Linked DNA regions of Oreochromis niloticus. The protein of the gene in region 1 purifies or fractionates together with the protein of each later gene. This does not show direct contact. Links are inferred from orthologs where the notes say so. Each region holds a gene or a part of one and is shown in the gene's direction. Other genes may lie near its edges.

The links. Proteins that work in one complex are often made in the same cells at the same time.
Region 2: the proteins of derl1 (region 1) and rnf5 purify together in Homo sapiens (affinity purification with western blotting; 4 studies listed by BioGRID and IntAct, with this or other methods). This does not show direct contact. The link is inferred for Oreochromis niloticus from reciprocal best matches to the Homo sapiens genes DERL1 and RNF5.

What each region holds. Positions count from the first base shown.
Region 1 is NC_031976.2:12,325,909-12,333,422, forward strand, and holds the start of derl1 (derlin-1), read left to right. Parts: upstream 1-4,206; 5' UTR 4,207-4,394; coding exon 4,395-4,547; intron 4,548-5,965; coding exon 5,966-6,077; intron 6,078-6,185; coding exon 6,186-6,250; intron 6,251-6,904; coding exon 6,905-6,931; intron 6,932-7,460; coding exon 7,461-7,514. Other genes in the region: tbc1d31 (TBC1 domain family member 31), read right to left, coding at 1-72, 297-440, 2,572-2,642. UniProt on the Homo sapiens protein: Functional component of endoplasmic reticulum-associated degradation (ERAD) for misfolded lumenal proteins. Forms homotetramers which encircle a large channel traversing the endoplasmic reticulum (ER) membrane.
Region 2 is NC_031985.2:15,433,610-15,441,101, forward strand, and holds the start of rnf5 (E3 ubiquitin-protein ligase RNF5), read left to right. Parts: upstream 1-4,203; 5' UTR 4,204-4,378; coding exon 4,379-4,587; intron 4,588-7,492. Other genes in the region: rRNA-processing protein UTP23 homolog, read right to left, coding at 1,887-2,276, 2,704-2,878, 2,995-3,182. UniProt on the Homo sapiens protein: Membrane-bound E3 ubiquitin-protein ligase that mediates ubiquitination of target proteins. May function together with E2 ubiquitin-conjugating enzymes UBE2D1/UBCH5A and UBE2D2/UBC4.

The sequences.
Region 1 (7,514 bases):
AACTCTGTAGTCCTGCGGAGGCTGAATGCCAAAGAAGTGCAGGCCTGTCCTGTTTTCTGCACCAGCCGAAATCTATCCCAAGAAGAAGGAGAAGAAAAGAAAAAAGAAAATCAAATAAATTTCAAAAGCATCGAAGGTTTTAAGACTCCATTCTGAATATATTTAATATTCTAATTCACAGGAAGAACATTTATGAATCAAACAATCCTGGTTGAAAAGTAAAGTCCTAAATCCTAAACAATACAGAATTCTGTACATTTATACTAAATAACCAAGTGTCACTCATAGCCACACACCTGTTTCTACTGATGTCAAAAACATAAATGTTGCCATGGTGATCCCCAGCCAGGAAGGAATCACCGGTGGTGTCGAAGGCCACGTGGAGGAAACGCACCGTCTTGGCCTGCTGAGCAGTGCGGACCACAGTCACTACTAACACACTGAAAAAGGCAAACAACACACCTCATCAGAGACGAAAGATGAAGAGTGTCTGAGTGAATCATGGCTGCTCCCTAGTGGTCACCTAGGAAAAGACCTCTCTCTCTCCACATGTGCAGCAACCACCTGAGGTCTTACTTACACAGGTGTGGAATATTGATGGATGAAAAATTATTGAAAGTGTCTTAATGGGGAGCTACATTAACATTACCTTAGGAATAGCACAATTTCTCACTGGCACAGATTCTTTATAAAAGAACTGAAATCAAAATCAAATTTCATCACTGGGCTCCTTGATGGTGGTGTGACAGAATGCTTGAAAACGAGTGAGTAATAGATCATTCTCGCATTTTTTAATATTTACTAAAAACAATAACCAATGTCCTAAAAATGAATGATTAGCAACAAGGATATGACCTAAATGACAAGAACAAAATTTGCTTGATACTAAGTATTATACAAATTTTGCATAAATTTCGTTCAGAGCAAAATATAATCAAAGAGCACGAGACATTCAAAGCATGTTTTCTGTAAGAGAAGGAATTCGTAATTTAACTACATAATTTAACGACCCCAAGATGACATCTGATGACCTCCCATGGACCCTTAATAATGAGTTATGACACGTTAGTATACATCAAAGATGTGGTGTGACGACCATGTGATGTTTCCATTTTTTTTTCAAGGGTAGCTGCAGAGGCAGAGACCACCCTCTTTAACTTCTGACGCACACTCACTCGTTCTGTTCTATAACCAAATATGACAGAAAGCGACAAAAGACCTCCAAGGTTTTACTCCTAGTAGGGTTTCAAGGGCTAAAGAGTTAAGGGTTTTTGCAACTTTAAAACAGTCACTGTGCGTACTACAAGAAAATATTTCGAACTGAAGCAATGTGCAACATAAAGCAGTTCAGAAAAAGGTATAAAGATATGGTTTTCGTGAGGTATAAGAAAGAGAAAGATGTTTGAATGTCAATTAATGTCTCTGGTTAATTAGTTGGTATTCCAGGTTTATTCAGATTTTGCAATCAACACACCAAAGTTGGAGGTATTTGTCTTTCTTGAGAGGATGTAAAATTATGGAGCTGTAGAAACTACATATGGTAATATTTCTGTCCCTGGCTTCCTCTCACATCCCAAAGACCTGCAGTTAGTGGGATTAGGTTAACTGGTGATTCTAAATTTGCATTGGTGTGAGTGTAAGGATGATTGGCCTGCATGATGCTGTCCAGGGTGTACCTGGACACTCTATTGCAACTGGGATAGGCTCCAGCCCCCACCCCAACAACCCAGAATCAGATAAGCTGAAAAAGAATGGGTGGTTAAATGGATTTTGTATTTTACACAGTGTATGTAAATGCAAGTGAAAGTGAAATTATAAATATGTATATTGTTGTTATTGAGGTTTATATCAATAAAGAGGCAGGATAAACAATAACGGATTTATGGACAAAGGGTGGGGTTAAATAAGTGCGCACTTCTTCCTACTCTTTTGGATATGTAAACTACGTCAGCCAAAGTGAAGCAGTGTATTCTGCATGACTTTCTTTATACTGCTTCCATGTTCAAAAGAAACTGAACTAAACAAGCAAACAAATAAATGCCATAGACAATTTCATCCATGTCTCCTCCATGGATGTTTCATTGGGGTGAAATTTGGAAGAGGTCACAGAGCACTAGTCGCAATATTTTTATATTCGTTAAGCCAGTCAGAGACCTGTAGAGAAGATTTTCATTTATTTATTCAAAATTTCCTTTAATTTGATTCACATTCAAACATAAATCATTTGTAAAGCTGCAATTTGCTAGAACTACAGTTAAAGTTTCATAGTTTTCCAGGATTACTGCGGCCTTAATAAAGTCGTAAAACACAACTAAATCTTTGATTGCAATTAGTAAATAAAATAACTCATCACAACAGTAGTAACGAATCAGTATTCGTTATGTAAATACCAACAGAAACAGTAGAAATACTCACAGTAATAGTGCCAAAATACAGCAACCACGGCAATAAAAACTGGCAACTTAGAGCGGTATGTGTAATAAAGATAACCCGCATGTAAATGAGTCCGTGCAGCATCAGCTGCTGACAGTCTGAGAAACTAAATAAGACTTTTGGGAAAATTAAACCTACCTTTTCCCCGGTGTTGGCTTTCGATACCAGATTTTACCCTCCTCTTTGTTCCCAATGTCCGTCACCTCCATTTTCAAAAAGTCCACACAGTTCAGGAGGTAAATTTACAAAACACCGCTTGAGTAAACTTAATGTCACTATGATATTGCATGGCTTCTCCGCTAACAGATTAGCCGGCTAATCTGTTAACAGGCGGGGTAAACAGCGGCAAATTTAAAAGAGTAACATTGACTAAGTGCGGTAATGAGCAGAGAAGCCGTTTATGCTCTCGATAAAAGCTTAGCAATGTAATTCAGATTTAAGTAGTGCCCTAAAGGTTTAGCTGACCCCCTACGAACAGGTTTTCTTCACCTGTTATTGTTGTTGTTTATTTTATTGGTTGGTTTTGAGAACAGTTTTTTGTCGCCCAAAATTGACGAAATACGTCAGAAGGCGTGGCCAAGGAGCGTAAACGGCGAGGCTTTGTTACCCCTGTAAATTTTTTTTTCCTTTTTAACAATACCCAGAAAAAAAGTGAATATTGAGTAAATTTTTATTTTAAAATAACATTTAAAATTAAATACATGACGTTTATTTATGTATTAGTGTATATTTGTTTATTTTATTTATTTATTCATACATTCATCCACATCCACACAGTAAAGCTCCCAGTTTGCCAGTTATTCATTTTATTATGATAGTGTTTTTGTTGTTTTTATTATTATCAAAGTTTTGTTATCTCATATGTCAGACATCCAAAAGCCATTCTAATACTTAAGTATGTAAGTAAAAAATCGAAATCCTTCACCCTCTTCTTTAAAGGCAGAGTGAAAGATAAAAGGTAAACTCCAGCAACTGAACCCTGGGATAAATAATTACGATTAACTGATCGCCACCACTTTTTAAAAAGCCTTATTTCTTCCCCAGTCCTCTTCTTGTGGTCTGTGTTTAGATCTCCACAGGGGGCCGCGAGACCTGCGTCGTTCGGCACGCCTCTTTGTGTTGCTGGCTGCCTCTGGATGGTCAAGTGAGCGTGTTTGCAAATTTCACAGGAAGTGCAATAAAATGCAAGGCAATCAAGATATTGTTAGATACTGAAAACACATCCGGTTTAAATTTTTAAATTAAGAGCTTATTAGAAACAAATTTGGCCAATATATGTGCAAGCACACGGGTTGGCATCTATTTACACTTTATCGTCAACTATGCACATCCTTAATATTATAAATGACCGCACGAACTGATCATACTGCCTAAGGACCTTTGTAACACTTTTACACAGTGCGAGCAGGAAAGGTTCCTCTAAAATTCTTCATTTTATGTGTGTGTTATCTGTGCATGTGTGAGTTCAGGGTGGTTATGGCATTAGGGAAGAAACTGTTTTTGACTCTGTGGGTTTTTGTGCTGATGCACCTGTAGCGCTTCCCTGAGGAAAGCAGGCTGAACATGTTGTAACCAGGGTGGGCCATTATTTGCCTCGGATAAACGTAGTTTGTTGATTGATAATAATAATTTCAATTATATTTTTATAATTTTATTTGTTTCTAGTTCAGTAACAGTCACAAAGTAAGTAAAAAAGATTTTTGTTTCATCCAGTCTGTGGTAACAGTTGTCAATTAGGTTTTACTTTGAGAAGCTAAACCGGATGTTTCCTCTCTGATGTCAGTGGCTTCGTCGTATTTTGAAGCTAGCTCACTGTGATTAGCCACGTCATGTAAACTTAACAGTGGAGCAGTTGTGATATAAAGACAGGAAGCAGTCGCTGGTTTGGGAAGGACTTTAGGGAATTGTTAAAGAGGAAATTTTATTTCAGGTCTCAAAGTTGGCAGTAATCCTATGGAAAGATGTCAGATATCGGGGACTGGTTCAGAAGCATCCCTTTCATCACCCGGTACTGGTTCGCTGCCTCCATTGCTGTTCCCCTTATAGGCAAACTGGGATTGGTTGATTTCAGGAATCTCTTGCTATTTCCGGAGATGGTCTTCAGCAGATTTCATGTGAGTGTTTCTTGGTTTTTGGTAACTTGTCTGTCTGTTGGATTAGATAGCGAACAAATGCTGAGTTACTGTCTTTTGGAAACTAGGAGTTAGTTAGCAGGTGGCTAGCACTGCTAACTCAGCAGGCCTGAGTGTGGGGCAGCCAATGAGAGGACGAGACGCAGGAGGGTGGGACTTCCGGATGCTGTCAAAATGCTTGGATATGTAGTAACGCTGAAATGTAAACTAAATATAAGACGAGTGAAAACAAATACATATTTTCTATAATTTAATTACCAGAGAAGTAGAGACACGTTTTATTTTAAAGCATTTGTTGCGATAATATACGTTAGTTTTAGTGCGCTCTCGTCCACAAGGTGGAGACAAGTATTGCAGGGGATGTTATGAAATTAGGCCCTCAGGCACTGTGAAGGCCTCTAAATCAGGTTAACAGTGGGTTCATGCAAGGTTAGGGCATAGGTGTAAATCAGTAATCAAACACAGCTCAGGGCAAAGGGAATCAACCAGTCTGATCACTTTAAGTGCTGAAAAGTAGCTACCAAGTAATTCACTTCATATCAGTTCTAGTACTTAACTTAGAAGGAAATGTCATCATTCCACCTTCAGTAAATGGAAATATATCTCACAGCTATAGTTAAGGGATAATCTGAAGAATATTAAATATACATAATTACAGCATTAATACAGTACTTTGCTATGTACTTTGTTTGCATTGGTATTACTGTGTTTTCTTAAGTGAATGAATAAGCTTCTTTTAACTGAACAATCCATACACCTTCTGGAATTATTGGACTTTCTTGCTGTGGATTATTAATCTTAGGACATGTTGATTAAAACCACAGTTAATTTCATTATGTAGGCAGCCAATTGTGTGGCTAATAAAAGAAAGCAAAATAAACTGAAATAAAAATGCAGTAGTGCAGAGTCAGTATACTATATATAACCCCCTGATCTTTATGAGCCTATAAATTGTTAAGTGATAGTTAAGATGGTCACGCAAGCTGTGTGAAAGCACTGAATATGAGACTCTGTTGATTGAAAAGTTATTAACCTTTTGTCAAGTCCCAAACAACAAAATAAGATTATTTTTTTTTGTTGGACAGCACAAAAATTGGATAATGGTATGATCAGACACTTCTTTAAATTGTGACTGCATCTTGTCTTTTGCCTCCAGATTAATGGGAATTTAACATTTAAATGTGGTATTGATTTGACTTCTTTTACCAATTTTCAAATCTTTCTGTGAGGAAACACACACTCTGCAGAGGAATACCACACAGGAAGTAATAATTTGCAACCCACATGAGACTTAATGTGTTACAGACTTGGTGGTGAACATCTGGATGTGCAAACAGGCACAGCGACGTTGATGTCTTACTGCTTTTCTGTTGGGTTAATAACTCTTCTGCTTATTTCAGATCTGGAGACCGGTAACAGCCACTCTTTATTTCCCTATAACCCCTAATACCGGCTTCCTCTACCTGGTCAACCTATATTTCCTCTACCATTACTCCACTCGACTAGAGACAGGTAAGATCACCGGCCTTAGCGGTTTCTAAACATACAGCGCTCTTTCTAGCATCTTGTATTCATTTGTGTCATCATCATCTTCATCCTCATTTTTTTTTCTTATACCAGGGTCATTTGATGGCAGGCCTGCAGACTATATCTTCATGCTTCTCTTCAACTGGATCTGCATAGTTGTATCCTTTCAGATTGGCAATTCCTGTTTTAAAATCTCACATTTTAATCTACCTAACAGGAAATTATTCTTTCGTCATCCAGTTACCTCGCTGTTAGCCTATTTCCCACTCTACCATTCATTCTGACCCCTCCTGCTTTTGATCTCTCCTGCATTTCTCTTTCATCTTCTCTCTGCCTCTCTCTCTCGTTCGCTGCAGCAGTGTGCCATGTCAGGGTGGCTCTGTGCCAGCGGCCCGGTGTCAGTCTACCCCTGCAGAGCAGAGAAACCTAATCTAGGTCACATGCAGCACCAGCAGTACACTCAGGCCCACATCTCAGCTCTCTGTCTTCTTGTGAGAGTTCAGCTTAGATTGGCTGCTTGCTGCTCAGACATTTCTCTTTTATATGGGAAAAGCAGCAAAACTCTACCTCATCCAAACAACATGTTCAGTCTTTGTCGGTTCAGCTAAATGGTGAGAACAGCTTAAAAAAAGTGTGGGAGGCGTAACCTTCCAAGGTCAGATGCCTTGCTCAACTGGAAACGGCAGAGGTGCCTGCCAGCTTCCAAAAACCGGTGTAGGGGATTTGAACAGGCAACCTCCCGGTCCCCAGCTGTTCTAATTGTAGAGCTCCAGCTGTGATTGTATTGTTGTCGTCCTTGACTCAACCTGCAGATAACCGGGCTGCTGATAAACATGCAGGTGAGAATCTTCCTCGTCTGTCTCTCTCTCTCTGCATGTAGACTGCTGTAGCATCTATATAAAGCATTTGTTTACAACCGTCCTTTGAAATCTTAGGAGTGTTTCATAACACAAGACACCCACTTTAAAAAGGAAAGGTTTACATTTTGGAGAAAAAAAATAAACACTGCAGAGACGCTGCCACCTGCTCCTCTAAAGCTTACTAATTTCTGCGGCATTTCACAAAGCTTATCCAGACAATTTCTTTCTGGTCCTGGCCAAGAAATTGCATTAGGAAAAAGTAAAGTTGCACAGATTAAAGAGCATCAAATTAACTATTAGCGTGCTGGTAAGTGGATTTGACTCTCTTTGGACAGAGCCAGGCTGATGTGTTGTTTGATGGTATGCGACATTGACCTTGTGGTGGTGGTGGGACGACAGTGTGCAGAAAAATGAATCAGACTTACATAAACTAGAAGTTTTGAAAACTTACTGTAAAAATACTTCTGGCTTGTTGATTGTGACTTGCTGGTTTTGTTCATCTTTTCAGCTGCTGATGATCCCCCTGATTATGTCTGTGTTGTACGTCTGGGCTCAGTTCAAC
Region 2 (7,492 bases), on another chromosome or scaffold:
TGGAAGTGGGTCTGACTAACGTAGTTGGAACTCAAACAATGAACATATTTATTATTTACTCACTTTATATCCCAATCAGTATAAAGGATCACCTGCATCTCATTGTTTGTGGCTGCTGGCGTCTCACCAAAGTGAAGGAGTCCAGTGTAATGATTTGTTTACAGTCAGTCAAACATGTTACTTCTATTTTTCTCACTACTGCAGGTGAAGGTTTCCTTCTGAAGTCTCTCACCATCATATTAGACAGAAGGAGCATGCACTGTTTCCAAGAGTACATTTAAACAGTTATTATAGTAGTTCTCTACAGACTCAACCAGCAGCTAATCATTATACAGCTGTAGAGTAGCACTTTAAGTATTACAGACTCTAAGTTGTTGTTGCTGTTGCTGTCAGTAAAAAAAAAATTAAAAAAATAGACACGACCCAAATCCACACAACATACTAATTTCTAAGCAGGATTTGAGGATTGTGTAAACTTAAAAATAGTGATGGCTACCAGCCTCCTGACACAAATCCTATGGAAGAACAAGGTCTAGAACACCTAGCTGCCGGGTCATGACGGAAACATTAAAAGTGAGCATAATTTATCCACCGTTAATTTATGGCTGCTCTCTTAACACAGTGTGTTCTTACCGGCATTGGGAAAGACAGTAAAAATGACAAAACAGAGATTAGACTTTATTGCTTATTGTCAAAGGTCTATTTAAACATAAATCCTATATGATCTTTTTCTCATGTTCATGCTGTCTGAGGCCCGCCTGCCTGACTAGGGGATAACAATACCCCATCAACCTTCAGGCTGAGGGGTAAAAATCACCTGTTTTTTCAGCGCACCGTGATTATGCACACTTTCCTGTGATTCAGATTTAAAATTCCGATAAAACAGGTCTGGGAACACCTTTAACAACTCCTGCTGCTTCCTCTCTAAACTTATAAGGAATTAAGTTTTCTCCATCATTGCCTGTTAGTATAAATATAAAATATTGGAACTTTTCATCACGTTGTCTTGGATCTTGTTACTATGTGCTGTGGATTTGGGACACAGTTTAATAAAACCTAGCTTCGGGACCTCAGCATATAGATGAAAACATGAGTGGTCTGCTATACTTGCATGCTATCCTGAAATATTTGAATCGAGTGCAATTTGTGTGAAATTTCTTTTTATTGCCATGTTACTTTTTTTTCCAAATCCTTAAAATAACTTGAGGTCAGATTCACTTTACTCAGTGTCCTTATTGTATATGGATACAGTGATGCACTGTCTTGTTTATTAAGACAATTAAGTTGTTGTGCTCTTTGTCACTTTTGATAGTATTAATTTATTGTTGTATTGCTGTATAGCAGCTAAAGAGAATGAATTGTTTTTTTATTTAAAAGCAGATTTCATTATTAATCTCTAGAATGGCTGGATGACAGGATCAGATGGAAACTGGATGGACTTTTGTTGCTGTAAGTCATCGTGGTACGAGAAAATACTGCAGCTTAAATTTAATCTGCACGAAATACCAACAGTGGAAACAAGTTAATGTGTCCACACTGCAGAGACAGCTGAATGCATTGTTTTTGATATCCTCTTCCATCTAAAAAAAAAAAGAAAAAGGGTATACTGTTTAATGTCTGAGTGCATCTTATATTTTAAACTATGTGCCTGTAATGAAACCTGCTTTTTTGATTTTGTATAAAAGAAATCATACAGATGTTGTCTGTGAACAGTTTCATTCCCTTGCCTGTAAGGTTTTTCAAAATAAAACAAATACCACTACAAAATGGCATTTTTAAAATATCATTTATGTAAAAAACAGTTTTTTTCCTCTGCAGTCATATCAAAACGTAAACCTATAAATCAGGTGAATGGAGAAGGCTGAAGTCTCTGTCTTCCTGCTGTTTTATGTATTAGCAGCTGTGCCATCTCCTGCCTCCACTTTTCGTTTCTTGTGTCGGCTTCTCTTCCTCTTCCCCTCCTGCTCCGTCTTCTTCAGCGGAGGTGTCGGGACTCCTTTCTTCTTTTTCTTCAGGCAGCTCAGCGGGTTAGGGTTGGACTGTTTCCTCTTCCTCTTCTTCCCACGCCGTTCTCTGTCCTTCTGGCCAATTCCCTGCTCCTCCTTCAGGGTCCGGATGCTCTGTTGCTGGGCCGGGCTGACCAGCTCTCCCAGCTGGACGGCCTGGACGTGGTCGAGGGACGCCTGGCTGGGCTTGTCCAGCACAATTGTGTTGAGGATGATGTAGAGCAGAGGAACTCCTGGAATTTTCTTCAGCCCCGTGGTGACTGTGTAGTCCTGGAGACATAATGAGACAAAAGAGATATCTGTAACTTATCTGTCATCTGCTCCACTGAGCAGTTATAATCCGAAATCAGACAAGAATGGAAACAAGTTTTCAGCAGCTGATCTCCTCGGTTCACAGATGTTTACAGGCTGTTGTCAAAAGAACAGGGCATGATACACACACACAACATGTCCCTGTAACAATTTTTTAGACTTATTGCTGCCATCAAATTCGAAATAAGCCAGTATATTTTCACAAAAGAGTAAAAGGAATCAATTTAAGCATTTTCTACATTTTCTATGTTCTACTGTGGGTAGAAAATTCAAATCGCTGCATTATGGTTTTCATTTACATTTTCCACATCGTTAGAGCTTTTGGGGAATCAGGGGTTTATCAGAGCACCCAAAAATATTTTCCCACTTTCATCTCATTATTTACCTGTGTGGCAACGAAGTAGTGGTGCGGGTTGGTCTCTTCCAACATGGACAGCAGACACTCTGATGCTGAGACCGGCTCCTTGAAATGCGGACACTTCCTGACCTGAAACCTCTGCAGGATGATCTTGGCCCCGTACAGCTGTTTTCCAAGCGTCTCGAGCTCCTTCAGCGCACAGCTGAACGTGAACACGTGGACACATTATTAAAACGTGTATGATGACGTATTGTGCCAAAAAGTGATCGGGGGTAGTGGGTGGGGAGGAGGGGGGTGCTCAGAGGTGAATGCACTCACCTGGTGGTGCACAACTGCACCTCTCCCATCAGGTATTTGGGCATCTGCTCTTTGATCTGAATCTTGTTCTTTAAGGCCGCTTGACAGAAAGTGCCATCGATGAGGATTTGGAAGGGTTCCCTGAAGCCGAAGTTGTATTTGTAGAAACTGATCGTCTTCTTGGCTTGTTTCTGCCGCTTAATCTTCATGGCGGCGGGTCAGTGACGAAAGAGCGCGTATTAAAACACAAACAGCCGTCAGTGACGCGGGTTAACCGTGAAAATACTGTTAACGTTACAACGTTAGAATTATCACACACAGCATGGACCCTGTACACAACACGCTTACCGTCCGTACTCCTCAACTGTCCGAGTGGAAACAACATGTAGGACTAAAGTTCCCTCGTTCGTTCTTTCTTTCTTTCTTTCTTTCTTTCTTTCTTTCTTTCTTTCTTTCTTTCGTGTATGTTGTGAGTGTAAAACATTTGGGTTAAATTATCAAAGACCTCCAGCCTGTCGCTATTAATTATTTTTTCTATGAGCAGCAAATATTCTTCCTATTTTCATGAAATTCATTAAACAGTAAAAGCGAATAAATAATGTTTTTGTTGTTGTGGCGTTAGAGTTTAAATTTAACCTGTTATGCTGTGCAACAGTCTCGAGTCACTATTCATATCTTTATATTTTACTTCTATGGAGCCAGACTTTCTTGTGATTTTTAAAGTGGTGTAAGCAGCTGTTTTTGGGGTTTTTTTTTTTATTTCAGTCCTTACCTGACTATTTTCAGAGGAACGTTTTCTGTGAGTTAAGCCACTTAACACTGAGCTATGAATCATTCAAGGATAAAAAGGATGAACCAGTGTTTTGTCTACATATAACAGAAAAAGATACATTTAGGCGCGTTGATATTCACAGCTCAACAAAGTTTATTACAATTTCCTTAGCTGAGTCTATGAAACATGCCCGAATGTTGTGTTTCCCAAAGAGCTATTAGGCGATGTTTTTGTTTGTTTGTTTGTTTTTGTCATGTTTCAATAAATCGCTTCTATTTTCCTACCACAAACGAAATGAGGATTGGCTAGAGACGAAGGTGTACGTATCAGTAATTCATCTTCTTCTTACTATTATTATTATTATTATTATTATTATTATTATTATTATTATCATTATTATCATTATTATTATTATTATTGTGGTGGTGGTGGCGGTGGCGGTGGTGTTTAAATTAAGACCGCCCATGCGTCCTGTTTTTCCCGGAAACGGAAGTCGTCTCTCGGTCAGAGACAGCAGCCTCGGCTCGGTCGGTGACAGCAGCAACTGTTACCGCTGACAGCTAACGTTATTTCGGGTCTGGCCGCCGCGGGTTGGCTCGCTTCGTTTCTTTATTCGTTTGGAAAATAAACACTATGGCGGCCGCGGATCACCGGTTCTCGAGTGACGGCGGGCCGGCCAGCAGAGGAGGGTTCCCGGCCGGGGAGAGCAGCAACGACCGCGACGGTTCGGGTGGCGGCAGCGGGGAGAGCGAACGGGAGCGGGATCGAGCCACCTTCGAGTGCAACATTTGCTTGGACACTGCCAGGGACGCCGTCATCAGTCTGTGCGGACACCTGTTCTGGTACGTGCTGGTTTCATTTATTTCGCAAACACGGACTTAGTGTGGTTTGTTTGGCCGCCTGTTAGGCCTCCTTTTGGGTTGTTTCTAACGGCGGAATCACGCCCCTCGACGCTCCGGTAATCAGTCGGTTGTGAACGGGATAAGAGACTATTAGATAACTCTGTGAAGGGTGTTTGTCTTCAGCATGTAGCTGAACTTTAACCCGTGATCTAAGCCGCCTTTTTAATGCCTTAAAGAGTGATCACATGTTTTTAAAGTTAATAAAGTTTCTGGAATCAGCAGATCCTAATAAACTAAATGTGGGACAAAGAAGGTATTTGTGTGGGACACTCGGAGTTGAGAGAATATCTGAAATTTGGAAATAATAGAAGAAATGCACAACAGGCTATATAGGCTACAGGTTTGGCATTGACTGAAGCAAATGAGGTTTAAAAAAGAAGCTGAAGTTTGCTGTTTTGATCTTATGCACAGTCTTTGTGTCCTTTTGTAATCAATTTTCCTTTCCACAGTAGTTTTTCAAACTGTGGTTTTCATCAGGGATGCATCTATGGACTTTTTATTCTAGGGTCAGAGATTGTGCGGGGTTTTTAATGCTAAAAAGGGATGCGGGACTGGGAATCATGTGAGGTAATGTATAACAGGCAGTTATCCCTTTCCCCTTGGACGCCTACTAGGGTTAACCATTGTCTGTCTTTTCTGAACTGAGCAGTTTCTGTCATATTTCAGGAATCCAGAAGACAGTGAATGTGAATGGGTATGCATCAGAGCTTACTAGAGGAAAAATTGGAAAAATCCATATCTATCTAAATATCAATGACTAATGAGTCATTGTAAACCTCATTCTGTGATAGTCTGTAATTTGTTAGACAGTAAGATGTTTTCGGGGGGGTTGTACACCACCACAGTGGATTTCAAATAAATCAATCTGGGATTGAAGCGCACACTCTCAGCTGATGAGCAGTTTCATAGCTGGATTATTATCAGTTCTCAGTGTTCCATGTCTGATTTAACAGACCAAGATAAGTGCGTACTGTGAAACCACACGAGTCTTTAAAAAGTCTGTGATGCAAGTTTTTGGTCAGACCACCCAGCCCTAGTCAGAGGTCACAGCTGCAATTGGCGCCTGGTTTGATCGGTGACACATTAACTTCTGTGTTCCACCTCCCTGCTGATCATTGGCAGCTTTCAGATCAGGTTCACAATATGCTGAATGCACATAATGAGCAGTGAAAACGCCTTGTAGCTGTGGCCTCGGTGAGCCAGAATCCTGAGATTAGAAAACAGCATAGCTGACAAGTTTTATCAAAGACTGAAAGTAGGTGTTGGGTAACAGCCGTAATTCTAGTTTGTCCCATCACTGTTGGCTCTGGCCTTGCACAAGGCTCAACCTTCAGGCCACTCTGTGTTGAATATTTACAAACGCTCAGTGATGTGGTGGCTTCATTCATGAGTTGTGACTCTTGGCTGAGGTTAATGTGGGATTAGGGCCGACCCGAAGGTCATCCTAATCTTTTCCAGCAGAACTGTAGCTGATGTCAAAGCGTAGTGGGCACCTGTTTGTAGTTTTAAGTGACGAAGGCTGGATGAGTGTGTTTTGGCAACAGAGACCTGTGTGGGCTTACACAGTGACATGTTTGCGATTGTGGATGTTCTCTCTGTTTCACAGGTGAGCTCAGCAGCAAACATGGAAATAAAAATCGACGTGTTCTTTAACTGCCCAAGATCTATCATATCATCTCACCCCCAGGAAATAACATGATAGGAGCAACCCGTGGTTTAACTTTTTATTTTGTCTTTTATTTGAAACAAAAATTCTGATAGGGATGCAAAATCTAAGCAGGCAAGAACTAGAGCAAACCAGCTACCACTGACTTCTCCAGTCTGCAGGTGACTGAACAGGAAACCCTGATAAACCTAAAGGCATAGAATGAAACACTGCATGTGTGGGGAGGAGGGTAAATGTGGCTTGTAGTTTTAAAAAGGCCTTTAAGAGCTCATTTAGACTACAAACCGCAGCTAAGCGTACATACTTGCATACATACATATTGTATAGACTTCAAGCACTTCATCTACGACTCCTCCATGGCCACATGCAATGTTTTTTGGACTCTGGGAGGAAGTCGGACCTACCCAAACACAGGAAGAACGTACAGACTCAACACAGGAAGGCTCCGCCCAGCCAGTGGATTCAAACCCAGAACTTTCTTGCTGTGAGGTGAAAGTGTTTTGGTAAAAATTGCATGATGTGAAATCCAAGAAGCGCACTAATCATTACACAATTTTGGTGTGGGTTTGTCTATTTTGGTCCTTCCAAAACAACCAAACTCACTCTTCGCCCGGCTTTGTCAGGCTTAATTTAGTTTGGTTGAACTTTTTTTCCTGTTGCTTCAGTTGAAGGAAGTTTTTATTTCATTACGCAACTTGTGAAAGGAAAATGTTGAATGATTCACACAGCTTAGAGGGTTTGAGTCCCGATCTTAAAAACTTCTTTTTATCACAGTGTTTGAGGTCTGAAATGCATTGTTATTAGGAAATATTGTTTTAGGCTTACTGTTAATCTGTGGAAACGACCCTACAGTTAGAGGCACAGTTGCCTTACAGCGTTGTGTTTAGGCTCCCTCGTTACGTGCTGATGTAATTTAGTTGCCGTGTTACTCGTGTCTCCCTCTGCTCTCTGAAGTCCTGATGAAACGGCGATGATGAAACCGTCAGCAAGGATAGAAGAACACCTTTAGATTAAAGTTGCATCAGCGCTGCAAACCTACGTCTAATCTTTTTTAGCCACACGAAACTCCCATCCTTTCACCTGATCAGCTGAGCATTCATTCCGACTGTGTGTGGCCGATTCTCCATCAGTAGACTCCTGCTAGTTTATACTGTGTACACTGTGCAGCTTCCAGATTTA